2 linked regions of the Elephas maximus indicus genome follow. The protein of the gene in region 2 purifies or fractionates together with the protein of the main gene of each other region. This does not show direct contact. Links are inferred from orthologs where the notes say so. Each region holds a gene or a part of one and is shown on either strand. Other genes may lie near its edges.

What was found.
Region 1: the proteins of BCL7C (region 2) and ARID1B purify together in Homo sapiens (affinity purification with mass spectrometry; 4 studies listed by BioGRID and IntAct, counting the BioPlex papers as one, with this or other methods). This does not show direct contact. The link is inferred for Elephas maximus indicus from reciprocal best matches to the Homo sapiens genes BCL7C and ARID1B.

What each region holds. Positions count from the first base shown.
Region 1 is NC_064819.1:228,891,186-228,901,507, reverse strand, and holds the start of ARID1B (AT-rich interactive domain-containing protein 1B), read right to left. Parts: upstream 4,818-10,322; 5' UTR 4,792-4,817; coding exon 3,121-4,791; intron 1-3,120. UniProt on the Homo sapiens protein: Involved in transcriptional activation and repression of select genes by chromatin remodeling (alteration of DNA-nucleosome topology).
Region 2 is NC_064830.1:90,162,704-90,172,830, reverse strand, and holds BCL7C (B-cell CLL/lymphoma 7 protein family member C), read left to right. Parts: upstream 1-6,052; 5' UTR 6,053-6,285; coding exon 6,286-6,377; intron 6,378-6,888; coding exon 6,889-6,967; intron 6,968-7,299; coding exon 7,300-7,408; intron 7,409-7,500; coding exon 7,501-7,662; intron 7,663-9,078; coding exon 9,079-9,164; intron 9,165-9,627; coding exon 9,628-9,753; 3' UTR 9,754-9,836; downstream 9,837-10,127. Other genes in the region: CTF1 (cardiotrophin-1), read right to left, coding at 1-300, 1,779-1,897, 3,099-3,123. UniProt on the Homo sapiens protein: May play an anti-apoptotic role.

The DNA.
Region 1 (10,322 bases), on a different chromosome or scaffold from region 2:
AATTACTCTTCTTTCAATAATTTATTTCTAAGTGATTTAAATTTTTTTTATCATTACATTGTATGTACTCTATGAAACTAAGTTTAAAATAGCATGAACGGAATTCAGTACAAATGTGGACGTTACAAAATCTACGGGAGCAGACCTCAGCATTCCTTCTGAGACTGCTCTATACAAATCCTTATCTCACAAAAATCCGCCAAGAAACTATCGTTTTGTTTGGCTTATTTCCCTTATTTCACTTTTAAAAAAGACCCTCTTCCTACAATGTATGTTTTGTTCCCAATTACAAAAACATTTCCTACCCAGTATAAGCCATTTCCTAAAATCAAAAATGAAACCAAAACATCTATTAAAAGCCACAAGAAAATTTCATCATTTAACAGCGTGATTTAATGGTCTGTTATGACCTACAGTTATGCAGTGATTTAATATTTTGGACAAGTGACTGTTTCTTAGCATAGGTATCATAAAGAATATTAAATAATACTAGCCTTCAAAAAAAAAAGTATGAAAAAGACACATCCCACATGTTATACGATACACAGAAGAAATCTGTGAATCTAGGTCATATGTCCATCACTTTATCCACCCCAAAAAACAACAACAAAAAAAATATTCTCAAGGGTCACACTGCAGATATAATGGATCTACTCTCATTCCAAGAAAATAAAATACCTGAAATGATTTCTACCACTAAAAAATAATACTCCAAAGTAACACAGACTGACATCTGCCTCTAACTTCATTCGTCTCTGGTTTACAAAGATATGAGTTTTTAAACTGCACCTTTAAAAGCAGTTGAGAAAACAAATCTTTTTTAAATCTATTACAGGAGTTTCCTTACATGAGCCCTCTCTATAACGTTTTCACTTGTGCAAATCAACAATGAAAATTGAAATTGCAAGTTTTCTACCAAGAATAGGAAAATACATTATTGTTAAAAGTAAAACTCCAATAACTAAAGATTTGAAAACAGTGAACAAAAATATTCAGCTTAGGATTCACACAGCATTTGTTAAATTCAGTCTTTGATTCTCTCTGACAAGTCTCTCCTTTAAGATATGTTCACTATCCTGTAATACATGATTATAATTAAAATACACCTTCCTAAAATAAATGGGTTGGGTAAAAACATATACACAACCACTGAAATTTACTTCTAACAGATTAGCATCTTAACACTTCCACAGCATTAAGATAGCTATAAATAATAAATAATAAAAAAATTATTTGGAAAAAACATACCCAGTACAACTTGCTATTAATCGAGCTTTTCCTAATTCATTGTATAAGCAATTCAAATGAGGCTCACATTACCTAATCTAACAAAATAATCAAGAGGAAAAAAAACCAGATTCTTGAGGCATTTCGAATCAGAGGCAAACAAAAAATGATTTTTAGTATTTCAAAGGAATATCCGCTTTTCCTTTCGACTGCAAAATTTACTTAGCTTTCTCATTTCATTTTTTTAAAATATAATGTCAATTCTAACTAATATTCTTCATCTACAAATGGTCAGAAACGTTAAAACACAAATCAATAGAAATATAACTTTAACCTTGTTATAAAACTAAATAAACATCACCAAATGATACTGCTGCGTTATCAGAAGCTTGAAATTTTTAATTTTATATTAAATATGTGTTCTAATACGGCTCAATTGTTCCCCCCCCCATGGTCAAATCTGTAAAGGGCAGGCTTTTAGAAAAGCTTTACGAATCCCATAAAAGCTTTCTGAATCCAAAAATTGGTTAAAAATTCCTGGTTTCCTTATGTTTCAATTAACATATCCTCACCCTACAATTAAAGTCCGTGATCTATGCAATGTTCATACTGAAAGGTTGTCATCAAAGAACTTAATTTTGCAAATGCTCAACGCTAGACACCAGCATAATGTTTTTATATACTTAATCTTCTTATTAATAACTCCGACTCATAATAAATGAAGCTTTAAATCATATTCAACCTTACATCTGCTTGCAATAGAGCTGGGTTATTATTTGTGGCAAGGATTTTTGTGACTGTACTGCCGAGCACGTCTATTTACATCAGCAGCGCTAAATGCCCAATGGTGAGAGGGGAGCCAATCAGATGGCGGATTAGATGTCAACTCCGAGGCAGCTGTCTGGAGACTCTTACAGCCAGTTTACCTCCACAATTCAAATTCCAAACCTCGCAAAGGAGATCGAGTCAGTCTTTAGGCTCAGCCTACCAGCAAGAAACAGCCAGAGTGCAGGACACTTCCCAATAACGTCGTGGGGCTGGGGTGACAGCGGAACACAGAAAATCCAAATAAATACGACCCAAATAGCTCACTGCCACGGGTCTGGCATGTTACTGGATTTGCCTAATAAAAGGTTTGCAGGATCCTCGACCAAAACAAGTTCGATTTATTCGGAATGTGGTCCTTGAACACAGCCTCTGTGAAGGTGACTCCTTTCGGGCTGCCCCTGAGCCGAAAGATGGATCTCACTGGCTGTCCTTAGGAAGGAATCGATATATTTTAGAGTATTTTGCCTCCACGCAGTTGCACGTTTCGGTATTATTTTCGCTCCTCAACGTTCAGGCCGGCAGGCCGCACCGAACATCCGCGAGTGCTCTAGTTACAGGCGGTTCTCCACAACCAGGAGCCGCACACTCGGCTGGTCAGGAAGCTAGCTCACCTCCCCTGCCGTTCCACGCGACGTGGTTGGAGGTGGAGAAAGTTCTCCGTCCTTCTAGTTAAAGCGCAGCGCTAGCGCTAACCAGGGAATCCGGTCCCCGTTCCCCTCGGACCCACTGGCGAGGGGAAGGCTGCCCCACCAAAGCGCCCGAGCCGGCCCCGCCGCCCCAACTGCCTCCCCGCGGCCGAGCGCAGGCCTGGGGGCTGGGGCGGGGTGCGCCGCCTCCATGGTGCCGCCGGCCCGCCCGCGCGTCCCCGCCGAGCGCCGGACCGCGAGGCGGACATTGTGCGCGCCCCGGCCTCCCGGGCGAGGCGGCCGCGAGCGAAATGGCTCCGGAATCTCGCCCCCACCTCCCCCCGAGAGGAGACGGAAAAAAAGTAAACCCGAAAGAAAGAAACTAGGGCCGCGAGCGCGCGAGGCCGCCGGGCGGAAGCAGGCCCGGCCGGCGCGTTACCTGGGGTCGGCCCATGGGCTGTCCGGGGTGGCCGGGGCTCATCGCCGGGTGGCTCCTTTGTTGCGCGGCCGCCCAGGCCGGGCTGGCGGCGGCGTACTGGGCGCCCAGGTCCTTGCCCAAGCCCATGCCCGCGGCCGCCTGCTGGCCTCCCGCCGCCGCCGCCCCCGCCGCCGCCGCCGCCTGGGACTGGGGCTGCGACGGCGGCGGCGGCGGCGGCGGCGCGCTGGGGCTGCTGTAGTCGGGGTAGCTGCCGCCGTAGCTCCTCATCATGGGGCTGGGCGAGGTGAGCAGCTGGTTAAGGGTCGGGGTGGCCCCCGACGGGTGCTGGTTCTGCCCGGCGAAGCGCTGGAAGCCCCCCGCCGCCGCGCCGGCGGCCGCCTTGCTGAGGCTCGCGGCCCCGCCGCCCCCGGGGCCCATCATCATGCCGCCGCCCTGCTGCCGGGGGGAGCTCAGCGCCCCGTACCCCGCGGCCGAGCCCCCATAGCCGCCGCCGCTGCCGCCGCCTCCTGCTGCTGCTGCCGCCGCCGCCGCGGCCGCCGCCGCCACAGCTCCCGCTCCCGCTCCTCCTCCTCCTCCTCCTCCTCCTCCGCTGCCTCCTCCTCCTCCGCCGCCGCCGCCGCCGCCTCCCGCGCTGGGCCGGCTGTAGCCCGGATAATGGTTGTACTGGCTGTTAGGGTACCCTTCGTGCGAGTTCTGCAGGGGCTCCATGCTGCTGGGGGCCCCGGCGGCGGCTGAGGCAGAGCGCATCATGCCCATCCCGGGGCTTTGTTGTCCGCCATGTTGATCAAAGCAAGGCCCAGCGCGGCCGCCGGGGCCGCCGCTGGCAGGGGCAGCGCTGCCGTAGTAATTATTAAACTCCGGGACGGCCGCCGGGCCGCCGCCGCCGGCGCCCCCGGGCACGGCGCCGCCGGACACGGCGCCCCCGGGCACGGCGCCCCCGGACACGGCGCTCGGCGGCGGCGGCTGCGCGCCCAGGGCGCCCAGGCCCGGGTGCTCGTAGCGGCCGCCCGCCGGCTCCCCCATCTTGGGCGGTGCGTCGTCCTCGTCGCCCGGCTTGCTCAGCAGAGGCTGGCCCGGGGCTTCGGCCTGGCTGCCCACGACACTGTCCTTGCCGCCGCCGCCGCCTCCATGTTGCGGCTGCTCCATGTCGGGACCCGGCTGAGCCGCGCCGCCGCCGCCCGCGCCGTGGTGGCCGCCGCCGCCGAGGCTGTTGTTGTTGGAAATGGGATGTTGCTGCTGCTGCTGCTGCTGCTGCTGGAACTGGTTTAGCTGCTGCTGGAGTGCGTGGTGGTGGTGGAGGTGGTGGGCATGGTGGTGGTGGTGGTGGTGGGCATGGTGATGGTGGTGGTGCTGCTGGTGGGGCGGTGCAGCGGGGGCCTCGCCAACGGCTTTCAGTTTGTGGTTGGGGAGCAGCCCCGTCTCCATGGCCGAGCCCGGGACCGAGGCGGAGGAAGAGGAGGACGCCGCCGCCGCCGCCGCCGCCGAGGAGGAGGAGGACAGCGCGGCGGCGCTTGCACTCTCCTTGAGAGCCGCCTCGGAGCCGCCGCTCTTGGCGTTACTGCCGGCGGCGGCGGCGGCGCTCGCGCTGTGGGCCATGTTCAGTTCATTATGGGGGTGCAGGGGGTGGTGGTGCACATTATTCAGGCCGCCGCCGTCGCCGCCCCCCAGCATGGGCCCGGGCGCCGCCGCGCCGCGCGCGCCCGCCTCCGGGTCCCGGGCCCCGAGCGCCGCCGGCCGCGGCCCGGGGGGCGCCCGCCGCTCGCTGCTGCCCGCCCGCGCCCGAGCCGCCGCCGCCGCCCGCGCGGCCATGATCGCCGGCGAGGCGCGCGAGGCTGGCGGCGGGGCGGGGGGACCCGACTTCAGGCCGCGGCCCCTCCTGCGCGCATCCCACGCCCGCGCCGACTCCGGCGAGCCCCCCCGGCCGGGCGCCTTACGAGCAGCGGGTCGAGCCTCACGGTCTGGGCCTGTTCCTGCTGTGGGCTCTCATGGTGAAAGTTTTGAGTTCAGGTTTAAATGAAACTTTTCTCCTTTCCTCCCTAACCCGGATATGGGTACACACACGGCTGCCGGAGCCTATCGGGCCCAGCATGGCACGCGAGGGAGCCGCGCGAGCCCGAGCAACTATTATCCACTTCTGATTACTCCGCGCACTCGCAAAACGCGGACTGGACTCAGCCAGCGCCGCCGCCGCCACCAGCCGCCCGCCGGGCGCACGTCGCCGGGCACCGGGCTGGCCGGCCGGGCCGAGGGCGGCTGCACGCTCCCCGGGCCTCGGTCTCCTTGCCAACCGGGCGTTCGCCGGTTTGTTTTCCCATCGAGAAGGCACGGTACAAAGGTGGAAAACGAGTCTGACGAGCAGACAAAAGAGAGAAAAGGGCTCGGGAACAAAGTTGTCTGTCGAACTCAAAGGTTATGAAGAACCGACGGAAAAAAGAAAAATATTTGGGTAATCTGTGCAAAAGCACTGTGTCTTCCAGTAGTTGTGTCATTTTTCAGAATCTTAGCCCCTCTGATTTGATTTTGGTCCCTCCACGTAGTTCCCACAACTTTTTCAAACGGCAAAATGAGGAAACGTTTCCGGTGAATTCCAGGAGCGCTGTGCCCTGTACACAGCAGGTACTCAATAAATGCTTTCCTTGTGCTGTACCTGCCCCAAAGATACTGTTGATATAACTAGTTTTCAAGGCACCTCGCATTTGCCTCTAGGCTTATCAATGAAAATTGCTCCACAAGTGTATGTCCTCTGTTTAAAGGGAAAAAGCCTCAAAGACGTCGAGTGGTATGTTATGCTCCAAACAACTTTCCGACGAAAGCTTAACTCCTAGTGCCGTCGTAGTAACAGCTAATGTTTAGCTCATGTCTTCATAAATCCGTGTGGCACCTTTCGTCATGTTTCACAGGTTAATGTAAACAACCTTCCTGATAGGAGCTCATTGTTGAGTAATGGGAAACAAAACGAAAATAAATACTAGACATTGTCTTTAATAAATATAAATATAAGATCAGTAATATAAAATGGTCCCATCAAATCCTAAAGTAGAAACCTTTCATATTTTGTTCTTTAAAAAATATCTATTATCACTTCACAATGTTTTAAATGTTTTGCCGATTTATCACTGTACTAGTTTAGATATCTTTGACAGCAGGACCTCTTAACCCAAGCAGTGGTTACCTTTTACTGGTGTGCACTCTGTTTTCATCAAGAGAAAGCATTTGAAACCAGAGCTTTCAAGAGGTCAAGCTGGCTGAAATAATCTGTATGATTTTGGTAGAATGTAGTTTTGCGAAATCATTTCATTCTCCAACTTTTGTCAGAAGTAGGTTAGTTTGTTTCAACTGCCCTGGTTATTTTTGTTTGCCTCACCAAGTGTAAGTAAATATGTTACATGCCTAAAAAAAAGGGATAGACTGGAAAAAACTGGGGGCTAATTGTGGGTGGGAGGGGGAGATCAGGTGCACACCCAAGGGTCATTATCCAGCATGGAAACGACAAATTGCAATTCTCCGCAAACAGCTGGAAAACCAGGGTCACATCATCATGTGTAAGAGAGGATAACAGAACTGTAAGATGAATTCATGCCAAACCATTCATCAGTTTTGCCAGGAGACTACTACATCTTTGTTAGTGTGCCTTTTTGACATTTTCTCCTGGATTTTCTCCTTTTATACATTCAAATACATACTAATTATACACATAAGTTGAATTTTGAAAGTTTTTCATATGCAAATATAACTGCATGTCTGTTTTGTGTTTGTGTGTATATTCCTATAAAGTCAGTTACATATTTATGCTTTTAGACATTCATCATCAAACTGAATATATACACATAATCATAAAATTGCATTTCTTCCAATTGATAAAATATATCAAAGTCAATTCATATTTTGTGGCTTGTTTTCACAACTGATCTTAAAAGGGAAAATGAGTCAACAAGTTCAGCTTTGACCCTTTTCATGAAAAAATTTTTTTATGTACAAAAATAATGAAAAAAAATTTAGGTATGTAAGTCGGTAAGTGTCTTTTCATTCCATTTGCTCCAGCAAGTCAACTAGAAGACTGGAACCAAGAGGCTCTGAAACAGAGGCCCTCAGCACAATGAACTCAGTCTGCTATAAAAGGCAGCGCATGCCAGCTTTTCCTCCCCAGTGGCAGATGCCACGCCCTGAAGCAGACAGAAGGCACTGCAGCCTGGAAGAGAAGCACAACACAAAGCCAGCAGGACTGGGTTTTGTCTTTGAAACCACAGAAAAATGTTCCAATACCTCTTTTTTAGCATCTTTGCTGAAGATAAGTAGTGGCCTTATATTTTACTCAACTGACACTTTTCAAACACCTTTCCAGGAAGACAAAATAAAAGCCTCTTACAGTTTCATTAATAAAAATAAAAACAGGGCTTAAGAAACAAAACAGCGCTTGTCAGGGGTCTGCTATCAAGTAATGAAATACTTTCAGATCTCACAAAAGCACACTTTCAGCTAGTGATGAGCATTCGTATTGTGTCACTTGCCTCAATTATCCTATATGACAACTCTACATTATTGTTTCTTTTGGAAGGAGCCCTGGTGGTGCAGTGGTTAAGTGCTCAGCTATTAACCGAAAGGTCGGCAGCTGGAACCCACCAGCTGTCCCTTGGGAGAAAGATGTGGCGTTCCGCTTCTGTAAAGATTTACAGCCTTGGAAACCCTATGGGGCAGTTCTACTCAGTCCTATATTGTCGTTAGGAGTCGGAACTGACTCGAAGGCAATGGCTTTGGTTTTGGTTTGTTTGGGTTTCTTTGGGAAGAAATAAGGTACTAGCAATCACTGAGTTCATTTTTCCCAGTGAATTTCTTATTTTTACACCTCTTGCCTAAATTTCAAACCATAATGACAACTTTAATAAGTTACTCTAACCACAAAGACCCGCGGTGGTACAGGCCCAAAAGCTGCCGAGTGGCCAGGCCTCGCCTCCAGCAACCTCCCAACCACAGATTGCTCCCCACGCCTTCGTGTTTAGCCTGAGGATTACCCATTATTTTGCTAAACATTCCTTCTTGGTTACAAAAAGGGTTTTTTATTATATGGAAATATTAATATTCAAATAACTGCTCCTTGTGAATAAGTTTTGGGGCAATGAATAAAAGACACTTCAGCGTGGCCACTTAAAGAGGATTGAGCCAGATGGTAGTTTAAGAATTCCACAATTCCATTCTTTTTACCTCTTCGTTGCCCATCCTACGCTGTTTGCTTTCAGATTAGCCCCCTTTTACTGTTCGACTTATTTCTTCGGTGACTGAAACTATCACGACTCACTACCCATCATATTTCTCAGTATTCTTTGCATAATTTGGAAGCAATTTAGAATAAAGCCCTGTCAAGATTTACAAATAAGAACTATTAAAGAATAAGGCTTTGGATACTTGCTTCCCTTTTAGATTTATGAGACATGCAATGAATGGAGCTGATGGGATTTCCCTACTGATCTTGGTCACGGACTTAAAAAAGTACTAAACAATTGTCCCTTTCACTTCCCCGATTTAGACATTAGCAGTGAATAACACTGAGTAATTGCAAGATATGGGATATAGCCTTTGATTTGGAACAACGATGCAAATTAACAGGGGCCCATAAATTCAGTATGCAAAGCAATTGTAGCATTTGAGAAAAGTCTAGGCAAAAAATAATTTTAACAAATTTGGGAACCAGGAAAACCAGTTGCATCATTATATTTACTAAGAATATGATAATGAGGACGGTAAACTTGGATGGGGATAAACTAGCACTTACTCATTCAACAAATTTCTTTAGAATCTGCTTTGTCATGCCCTGAAAATAAAAAGATAAACATTACCTGGTTCCTGTCTTGAAGGGCGTCAGAGTCTAATAAAGGAGACAAACAATTAACAATTGCACTAAAATATACTAAGGGCTGCCCTTGAACCTCATGGAGGATTTGGCCAATTTAGAGCAAGCTCAGACTTCCCCATAGGTCAGCAATCCCTGTAACTGAGCCTTGCTGTTGACTGCCATCAGCCTAATCTGACTGCATCTGGCACATCCCAGACTTGATGCCAGGAACCCACCACTGGATCCTGATGAGGCTAGTCAGCACCAGCAATTGGGCCAATTCCAAGTATATTCAGAGTATTACCAAGTGTTGGATGTAGACTTCCAAAACCTTAAATCAAATTTAACGTTATGTGCCCTCAAGTCAATTCCGACTCACAGGGACCCTATAGGACAGAGTAGAACTGTCTCATAGGGTTTCTTCCCTAAGCTGTAATCTTTATGGGAGGTGATCGCTAGGTCTTTTCTCCCATGGAGCCACTGGTGGGTTCATAGTAACACCATTGACATAAATGCAGAAATACCTTATTACATTTTAAAACATTGTACATTTTATCTTTACTGGACTGTCCACATTTTGAACGACAGGTAATAAATATTTTTCACTACAACCTAGAATGTTTAGAAATGTTCTGTAACTTTTAGAATCGTATGTCCAATCACATTTCTTTCATTTTACTCCCAGTATTGTCCTCATTCGTGTTGCCATCATCAAAAGTCACTTATCGAGCACCTACTCGTGCCTTTCAATATTCTGTTCTATATTGGATCATGTCATACATCATGTAAGTAGCTCCTATCTGTGATAATCTAAAGCTTGGATAAAGGCATTTAGAGAGAGTTCCACTCTAGCTTCTAAAAAATAAATACTTGGATAGTAAACATATTTGAATGTCCAACTCAATGACCTTGGACACATCAAGAGAGATCAATTGCAGAGGAAAACACAGTGTTTGGTGAAATAGAAGGCCAAGGCGGGTGAGGGAGACCCTCAGTAAGGTGGATTGATGTAGTGGCTGTAACAATGGACTTGAACATGTTGGTGATTGTGAGGATGACCCAAGACCAGGCAATGTCTCTTTATGTTGTATATAAGTTTACCATGAGTTGGAAATGACTTGATGGCTGCTAACGAGAACAACAAAACATATTTGATATTACATCGTATACTAGCCAGGATGTGGGATCCAAAGCCAATCATCATGAAGACAGAGCAGGACAAGACAACATTTCGTTCTGTTGTGCATGGGACAGCTGACAACAACAACAACAACAAATTATCACGTATCCAAAGGGAAGTCATTTGGAGTGCTGATCACCTCAGTTTTCTGGAATATTTCACTGCCTTACCTGAAGGACTTGGGAGTCTCTCACA
Region 2 (10,127 bases):
GCTGGCCGGGACGCCGAACGCGGCCAGCACGGCCTCCACGGCGGACCCCAGGGCCCGGGCCTGGCGCGCCGCATCCTCCAGGCGCCGCAGCAGGCGCGGCGCGCGCGGGTTCAGCTCGGCCTGGTGGCGGCGCACGATGTCCAGCAGCGGCGGCAGCGCTTCCAGCGCCGCCGCGTCCAGCCGCAGGCGCTCCGCCGCGGGCAGCCCCGCGTGGCTCGGCGCCGGGGCGCTCAAGCCGGCCACCGGCAGCCGCGGCGGCGAGAAGCCAGGCAGGCCGAAGGGGTCTCCTTGGTGCTGCACCTGAGGAGACATGGCCAGACTGTCAGCGAGGCTGCGCTTGGAGCGGCCCCAGCTGTGCGGTGGGCCGGGGCGCGAGCTCCTCCACGTTTAACTGAGTCCCCCACCCACTCCGGGGCCTTAGTTTCCTTATCTCGCAAATGATAAATCTCTCACCGGGCTGCTGTGTTTGAGAGAATATAAAGCAACAGAAAACAACGTGAGCTGTACATCAGTGCCTGTTTTTGTCTCTGAAGTGGATAATAATAGTATCAACTTCATATGGTACTTCCAACATGCTGGTAAGTATACGAGCATGTAAAGTGCTTAAGACAGGGCCTGGCCCATAGGAAGGGCTCAATAAATGTTAGTCTTTCAGTAATGTTATCTTACAGGCCAGGGTTCAAGTCCCGTCTCCACCACTTACTAATTGTGCCGTTTAGGGCAAAAACCACTTCCTTCTCTGAACCTCAGTCTTCTTATCTGTAAAAAGGGAAGCAGCTCCCTGCCCTGTCTTCTTACCAAGGGTCTCCTGAGAATCATATGAGATATTGCAAGGACCAAGTCTATTTTGCTCTTCTTCCCTACCCTCCTGTTGTGGATTGAATTGTGTTCGCCATTTATCCTTTCCTAACCTCTTCCCTCCAGTTCAGGCATTGTGCTTGTTGCTTTAAACATATTAATTCAAATTTTCCCAATAATGAGTAGAATGATGATGATAATTATTTTGTAAATGAGGAAACCGGGCTGAAGAGGTACAGTGACTTGCCGTAGATCACTCATCTAGTAAGTGGCAGAGCTGGAATACGAACCAAAGTTGGTAGGACTGCAAAGCCAGTTCCGTCTCTGTTATCCCAAATCATAATTATTACTTGGTTATTTTAATATTAGCATTACTGCCCAATGTCATGGTTAGCAAGCTGATAGGCCTGGGTCTGTCTGATTCCACAACTATACCTTCCCTTCACTACATCAGGGAAATTTTGGGTAAACATCTTCTTTCCTTGGGCAGGGCCTTCTGCCCAACCAAAATGTCAGTAGATCTCCCTCTGTAAAAATCCCCTCTTGAGGTGGAATTTTTGCCCCAGATTGAAAACCGTTATTGGCCTCTCTGAATACCCAGCTGAAAGAGCTCACAGCTCGTCTTGCTCAACTGCCTCCTTTTACAGCTAGGGAGACCAAGGCCCACGGAGGCTAGGTGATGAGATCTCATAGACCCTAGTCTTCCTGACTCTCAGACCAGAGTTCTCATCACTCTCTCAGGCAGCCTCTGACTTAAAGCTCTGAGGAGGGAGCCTCCAAGGTGATGAGGACAGAGGGCATTTGGGTCACAGATAGGACCCTCCTCCTATTTGCTGTGTGGCCAGGGGCAAGTTACTGTCCTTCTCAAGGGGAAATGAGGTAAAGAAAATGGATGGTGTAGGACTCCTGTGATCTGTGCTTCCCCATGATTCTCTAGGCCCCAGGCCCCTACAACATCCTCCATCCCCACCCCCACTCACATATTCCTGGAACAGCTGCTCAGCATATTTGGTGAGAAGACGGGCAAGGTTGTGAGTCTGACGGATCTTGGCTTCCAGGTGGGGAAGGAGTGAGGTTGAGGAGTCAGCCTGGGGGTCTTCTGGTGAGAAAGGGGGGAAGAATAAGGGTAGCCCAAACCCCTCCTCCGAGACTGCTCCGAGGCTGGCTCCTGCTTCCTAAACCCAGCAGCTCTGCTCTGAATTTTCCCATTTTTAAGCTAGGCACAGTCTGTCCCATACCAACTGAGACCCCAGATCTTTTCCAAGCAGTAGCTCTATGTGAAATGTGTTCCCTGTGTCCAAGCTGCTGTTGAAATCATATTAAGGCCAAATTCAAACATTGCCTCCTCAGTGTGGCCTCCAGATTGACCTGTTTCCCAAATTAACTTCTTCCTTCAACCTAAAGCCATTTGCTTATACTTGCCAGGTAACTCTTTTAATGGCAGATTATAATTATTTGTGTGTATCTGCCTCAGCCTGGGATCCCTGAGAGGATAGGGCTGACATCTATTTCTGTACTTGAGTGACTATTAGTGGAATTCAACATCATTGAAGCACAGCATTGCAAATCGAAAGAGGCCTGTAAGGAAAAAACTCCCTCATTTTACAGATCCGGAGACCGAAGTCCCATTCGCTTTCTGATGTCTCTTTTATGCAAAACACTGGGCTGGGCCCTGGGCGGCATCAATGAATCAGCGACCCGCCCTGAGGGACACAAGCCATAGGGTGGCGCCCCAGGAGAAGGAGGACTACACTTCCCGAGACGCACAGCGCGCTCCCAAGTGCATGCTGGGGGATGTAGTCCGGACACGGCACCTCCCGCCCCGCCCCCCGCCTGAGTTTCCCACTGCTAGTACCGGTCTTCAGCTGCCTAGACTTTCGTTTCCTCTTGTCATGCACTCACTCATGTGGCCCAAAGACTTCCACAACTCTACTTCTCCCTCTGACCCCAAGTTCTGATTATTTCCGAGACTCGGAGAGGACCCAGGGGTCCAGCCCCCTGTCCTGACTCCAGTCCTCCCCCAGGTGGACTCGAACCAGTTGTCTGGCTGCAGAGCCCAAGTCCCTGAAAGCGCAGCTCCAGGCCTCTTCTGAACCCTGGCGCCTGCTCCCTTCCCACAACTCTGGCGCCTGCTCCCTTCCCACAACTCACCCGCTCGTTACCTGACACCAGGGTAAGCTCCCGTGCCCAGGCCGCTCCCCTCCCAGTCCCGGAGGTGGCGGAGACTCTGACCCTAGCTCCCAGCCCTTCTGACCCCTGCTCCCCTCAGTGACCCGGCATCTGACCCTTCAGCCCCTTACCCAGACTTCCCTCCCTCCGGCTCATGCTGGCCCTTAGCCGATCTCGGTTACCTCCACGCCCCCCTTCGAGGCGGGAGAAGGGGGACAGGGGTAGGGGCGTGACTCGGGCGCAACCAATCATGGTCCAGACCCCAAACACCCGCCCCACCCCCCCTCTCCCAGGCAAGATTCCTTGGCCCTGAGCTCAGCTCCCAGCCTACGCAGCCTAACCCGAGAGGGACCTAAGGGGTGGGGTGGGGGGGACAGCTTATTGGCACTATGGGCTTGGGACCTGGGACCGAGGGTCGGGGGCATGGGAAGCAGCCCTGCGTCCCACCAGGAGGAGGCTCAGGCACCGACCTGGGGCAGGGCCTGGCACTAGGAGATAAAGAGGGAGGCTGAGGGGCTGGCAGGAGAGGATGTGCAAGCCCTTCCTCTTGGAGACAAAGGGAGGCTAGGTGAGAGGGTTGTCCGGTAGGAGTCTCTAGGGCTTGGGGGCACACCTACCCAGACACACACCTGTATCTTATATGCGTTCCACCCAGTCAGCACAGTCTCATTGTCACATTGATATTCCCCGTCTCCTTTCTTCAAGCACATGCTGGTTGTCACACCTACCAGGAGGGAGACACATCACCTCATCTCACCTCACCCCACTGACACACACACATGCATCTATTGAAAGTTAATGCATACACTCATTCTTACATAGGAGCAAGCTTCAGAGACAGGTGCAGGAGGTCACACTCACACGTAACCCCACTAACCTGGTGCAGATAGACACTAGGGGGTCTGCATACACATCCCTAGAGATGGTTCTAGAGTGCCTACTCTGCTCTGGATCCTGGGACACAGATACGATCCATATGGGGTCTCAGACCCCCTAAGGAACTCACAGTCTGATGAGAGAGACCATACACAATGGAGACTGTGAGCAAAAGGACTGTGTGTCTGTGAGGATGTTGACATGGGCAGACAAACTGCCAGAATAAAGGAATGCAGGGATTAACTGGCAGACAGCAGAGCAGGTGCAACTGAGGCTGCACTCTTTATTCACAGTTAATATTTATTGAGGGTTTATTATGTGCAGGCTCTAAGAGCTATACATGTATTCATGTATTAACTTGCTTAATGCTTATAAACTCATTCACCCTGTTGCCATCGAGTCGATTCCGACTCACAGCCACTCTATAGGACAGAGTAGAACTGCCCCATAGGGTTTCCAAGGAGTGCCCGGTGGATTCGAACTGCTGACCCTTTGGTTAGCAGCCGTAACACTTAACCACTATGCCACTAGGGTTTCCTTAATGCTTATAACAATATAAAAAGGTAGGTAATATTATCACCCCCATTCTATAGACAAGGAATTAGAAGTATAGACAGATAAGTGACTCGTCCAAGGCCACATAGGTAAGTGTGGCACAGTTGGGATTTCTCCCCAGCAGTTTAGCTCCAGAGATGCTCTCATCATCACCTTGCTATACCTTAACCCCTCCGGACGGTCACACAACAGCACAGACACAACAGACATACCCTTGAAACACACTCACACATAGCAACACACATTTATATCTGCTGACAAGCACCTGTAAACCCATCGCTGTCAAGTTGATTCCGACTCATAGTGATCCTATAGGACAGAGTAGGGCTGCCCCATAAGGTTTCTAAAGATCAGCTGGCGGATTCGAACTGCCAACCTTTTTGTTTGTCGCCAAGCTCACCAAGGGTCTGCTGACAAGCACGGTGTCCAATAAAACCAACCAAGACACAGTCATTTTCTTTAAGAAAACTTTTTATTGAAGTAAAATACACATACAGAAAAGTGCACACATTATAAGTACACAGCTTGATGACTTCCCATATGATAAACATGCCCAAGGAACCAGCACCACATTAAGAAACAGAACAGGATCTGCTTGGAGAAACCCCCCTCTTAGCCATTCCCAGTCAGTATCCCCCAAGGGTGACCACTATCCTGCCTTCTCACACCATAATTTTGTCGTTTTCAAACTTCATATAAATGGAAGCTTGTGTCTTCTTTCACTCAGATGTTCATGAGACTTATCCACGTTGTTGGGTGTAAAAACCAAAGCCACTGCCGTCGAGTCGATTCCAACTCATAGCAACCCTATCGGACAGAGTAGAACTGCCCGACAGAGTTTCCACGGTGCGCCTGGCAGATTCAAACTGCCGGTCTCTTGGTTAGCAGCCGTAGCACTTAACCACTACGCCACCAGGGTTTGTTAGGTGTAGCAGGAATCAATCATTCTCATTGCTGTGCCCACGGGTGTGAATAGGCTACAATTCATTTTCCAGTCTCCTGTTGATGGGCATTTGAGTTGTTTCCAATTTGGGGCTATTATGAACAGTGCTATGAACTTTCTAGTACACATCTCTTGGTGTTCATACCTCCGTTGGGCGTTGACGACTTAGGATTGGAACTGCTGGATCATATGGCCAGCTTCACTAGAAAACTGCCTGTTTTCCAAAGTGGCTCTACCAATTTACACCCCCCCAACTCCCCGCCTAAATATGAGTTCCACTTGCTCTGCTTCCTCGCCTACCTTGGTATGGTCTGTCATTTTCATTTTAGTCATTCCGGTGGGTGGAGACCCACTCATACTGGCAGAACCTGGCACATAGTTGGCACTCAGTAGACTGTTGAATGAATGGATGAGCTGGGCAACATAGAATCAGACAACTTGGCGAGGGTGGACACACACATACATAAACACACCCTCACCCAGAATTTCAGGGACGCCCAAGCGCGGGGGACGCACATCCGGACACGGACCCCCGCGCGCATCCCCGGGGCCCACGTGGCCTGAACGCACCGCCTCTGGCCGGTCGCGCGCGTCCAGTCGCCCAGCTGCCCCTAACTCTCCCTCTCGGTGGCGGGCAGGGGGCGCTGCGCGTCCGGACGCCCCGAGGGGGCGGGCCCGGGTCGGGGCGGGGCCGGCCGGGCTTCCAAACCTCGGCTCCCGCCGCCCGCGCCGCCGGGCCGCTCCGGGGACGGGCCGGGGCGGGGCGCGGCGGCAGGAAGCGGGGCGGGGATTCGCGGAGGCGTTGGGGAGCGAGGGAGGGCGCGGCCAACTCCCGGAGGGTCGGCAGGCCTGGAGAGCGGCGCCCCTGCTTGGCGCCGAGCCTGAGCCCGCCGGACGGGAGGCGGCCCCGCCACGGGCCCTGCCTCGGTCCCAGCCCCGCCAGCATGGCGGGCCGGACTGTGCGGGCCGAGACCCGGAGCCGGGCCAAGGATGACATCAAGAAGGTGATGGCGACCATCGAGAAGGTCCGGAGATGGTGAGCTCAGCGACAGGGACGCGGATGGGACATAGCAGGGCTACCGCCCCCAAATGCATTTACCCTCCCCATGCCAGCTGTAGCCCCAGGTGTTAGGCGTGTGCCCAGCTGTGCCCCGGATTGACAGGGCTCATTCTCCCTTGCCCTGGTGATCTCCAGCCGTGCCCTCCCATAGTAGGGCTCCAATTTTTGTGCCCTGCCTCCTAAAGCTGTGACTCCCTCCATCCTAAGTGTGCCCCAGGATCTTCATTGCCATGGTCCTCACCCAGGCCCAGAGCCATGCCCCCATTTTTGCAGCGCCACAGTCCCAAGCCATACCCTCCCTAGACGCACTCTCATCTATGCCCTGAGGTCTGCAGGGCTCTCTTTGGCCCTCTCACTACGCCCTATTAACAAAACTGTCCCTCCCCTCGTGCCCCTCCCCCACCTCTGCAGGTACCCCCAGATGTGTCCAGCTGGGGGGCTTTTCCCCCAAGCCTCTCTGACCCAGCTACCCCCCATCCTCCCACAGGGAGAAGCGCTGGGTGACTGTGGGCGACACTTCCCTTCGTATCTTCAAGTGGGTGCCAGTGGTGGACCCCCAGGAGGAGGTGAGCAAGCCCCCCCTCCACCAGACCCTGCATCTGTGCAACCTCAGCCAAGCTCCTGCCCACCCTGGCCTCCACATCTAGTCCCCACTCAGACCTCAAATGCAGCAGTTTAGGCAGATGTCAACAATTATTAGCCACCCCAGCCCCCTTCTTTTTCCCTGCTCCAGAGCCCAGAATTCAGAACCTAACTCAGCATGCACAACCTCTGTCACCTCAGGCAAGGCCTTTTGCTTCTCTCTGCCTCAGTTTCCTTATCTGTACGGGGTGGGAGGATTGCAAGAGCTAACCAGAAAGGCAGTTGGGGCCCTGACCCTTACCCCTCTAACCCCTAGGACCGACGACGGGCGGCTGGTGGTGCAGAAAGATCCCGTGGCCGGGAGCGGCGGGGCAGGGTCTCCAGTCCCCGAGGGGGTGGTCCTCTCATCCTGCTCGATCTCAATGGTATGTGGGGATCCTGGGATTTAGGGGGTGAGGGGCATGGAAGAGAGAACTTGGGGCCTCAGGCCCAACCCTTCTGGTTCTTGTTCCCACAGATGAGAACAGCAACCAGAGTTTTCATTCGGAAGGGTCTCTGCAAAAGGGCACCGAGCCCAGCCCTGGGGGCACCCCCCAGCCCAGCCGTCCTGAATCGCCTGCCGGACCCCAAGATGGGGTCCCAGAAGAGGCTCAGCCCCCACAGCTGGGCCAGGAGAGAGGTAGGACCAGGTGCCTCCTGGGAGCCCGCTCCTCTGATGAATCCTGTTCGCTACAAAGCTGAACCCACCAGCTTCCCTGCATGTCTGTTCCTCCTCTTTTGTTGCCTCATCAAGGAGGCTCTTCCTTGGCTTCTGTGGAAAGTTACCACCCTATCTCTAGCTACTGTGTGTCTCATTCCTCTGGCTTCTTAGGGTCTGTAGATCTCTTATCACGATCTGAAATTTCATGTAAATTTAACTTTTTATTAGTATAGTATGTTTCTCCCCCAGTCCCACCTGATAGCAGCTTCATGAAAGTTGGGCTCATATCGATCTTGTTCACTAATTGCCTCAGAACACCATGTGACACATAGTAGGTACTCAAGGAACATTCGTTGAGTGATAATCATAAAAGCAATTAACACGGTATTGATAATAGGTAATATATATTGAGTGCTTACTGTGCGCCAGGTATGCTTCTAAGCACTTTACTCACTTTATCTTTTTTAATCTTCATCACAACCCTATGGGAAGGTGTGTCGTATTACGATCCCCATTTATAGATGACGAAACCGATGCTCAGAGAAGTTACGTAAGTTGTCGAAGTCACACAGCAAGCTCCCTCTTCCATATAGCCAGTCGATGCCTGCCTTTCCCTCCCCAGGCTCTGCCTGGCTCTGGCCATCCCATCTTTCATGCACTGCTGGCTCTAGCCTCCTCAGCAGTCACCCCCATCCAGTTGCTTCCACACAACTGCCAGAGTAACTAAACCACAAGCTTGTCAGCTTCCCTGCTTCAAAGCCTTCAGTAGCTCCCCATGGCTTTTGACTCCTCCCCAGCTTGGCATTCAGGGCCCTTCGTGAACTGGCCCCTGGTAACCTCATTGTTCTCCCCCAGCAACCTCATGACATGGGCCTACTTGCTGTGACGAGTATGTGCCATGCACTCTTATGCCTTTGCTAATACAAAAGCACTAATTGATACCCGCTGAGTACTTGGTTGTGCTAAGGGCTCTACCTGTATTGTCTCACTGAATCCTCACAACAATCTCATGTGGTAACTACTGTTGTTATCCCCATTTTACAGACAGGGAAACTGAGACTTAGAGAAATTAAGTAGTTTGACCAAGGTCAGAATATGAACCCAGGCACTCCAACCCCAGAAGTTGTGCTCATTAAGCATGAATTCCTTCTGCGAAAAGTGTGCTCCACCTGTTTGCCGGATGAAATCCTACTCACCCTTCAACATCCCACATAAATGTTCCTTCCTCTGTGCTGCCTTCTGGATCACAGTAACAGTGCGGGCTCCTCCCTCATTCTCCCATACCCTCTGGCTTACGTGGTTGGTGCTTGTTGGTATTTATTTCCCTGACTGGTTTGTGTTACTGCCACAGAGTTGCTGGCTGCTCAGGGAATGTCTGTTAACTTGACCTTCCAGATCCTGGGGGCATAACTACGGGCGGCACCGATGAACCCCCGATGCTGACCAAGGAAGAGCCTGTTCCAGAATTGCTGGAAGCTGAGGTGAGAGAGGCCAGAACACTGTTCTTTTAGGTCTTCGAGGGGTTGGAAGCTTTGGGGTTAGCCAAAGGCTCGGAGGCTGTACTCCTGGGTCCAGAAGGGGAATGTAGACATAGAACACAGGTAAAAGCTTAGAGGCTGGATTCTTGGGACCAAAAAGGAGAGGATATTTTAGCGACGGCCAATGTCTTAAGCTTAATAAAGTCCCCCATAAAGTTCTGATTTTTCCCACAAGGATTATGTTGATGCATTTTTCCGAAATATCAAATATCACATTCTTTCTCCAGAATTTGTCGTTGTTGTTTTTTCTTGTGCCTTACTTAAGCTGCATCTTGGGTACCTGGCTCTGGGCTAGACTCCTGGGTCCGGGAGGGGAGTGGAGTGGAGGCTTTGGAGAAGGCAGAGGCTAGGAGGCTGGACTCCTGGGTTTGGGTGGAGCTCACGCCTGTCCGCCCTTCCTCTCCAGGCCCCTGAAGCTTACCCCGTCTTTGAGCCAGTGCCACCTGTCCCCGAGGCAGCCCAGGGTGACACAGAGGACTCGGAGGGCGCCCCCCCACTCAAGCGCATCTGCCCCAATGCCCCTGACCCCTGAGAAGCCGGCCTGCCTATCCTGCCACCCCAGGGGCCTCTTTGACTTTTTACAAATAAAGACCCTTTTATAATTTTGTGTCATGTTGTTTCCCCGTCAGGGCTGGGGAGGGTCTTTGGTGACAGTTTTGTCACATGCTCCATTTCTCAGATGGGGTCACTGAGACTCTTTGAGAGGACCTTCCTGTAGTCACACCATGAGTCAGATGTGGAGTAGGGGCTTGAGCCAGGACCTTCCTCCCTAACACTTTCCCCACTTTGTCCTGTCCTCCTTACTGCTGACCCTTTTTAACCTTCACCTCTCCTCCTGTGAGAATCCCAGGAACCTCCTTCTCAGCCCTCCCCTGGGCCCAGCAATTATCAAGCTAGGCCCAGGAT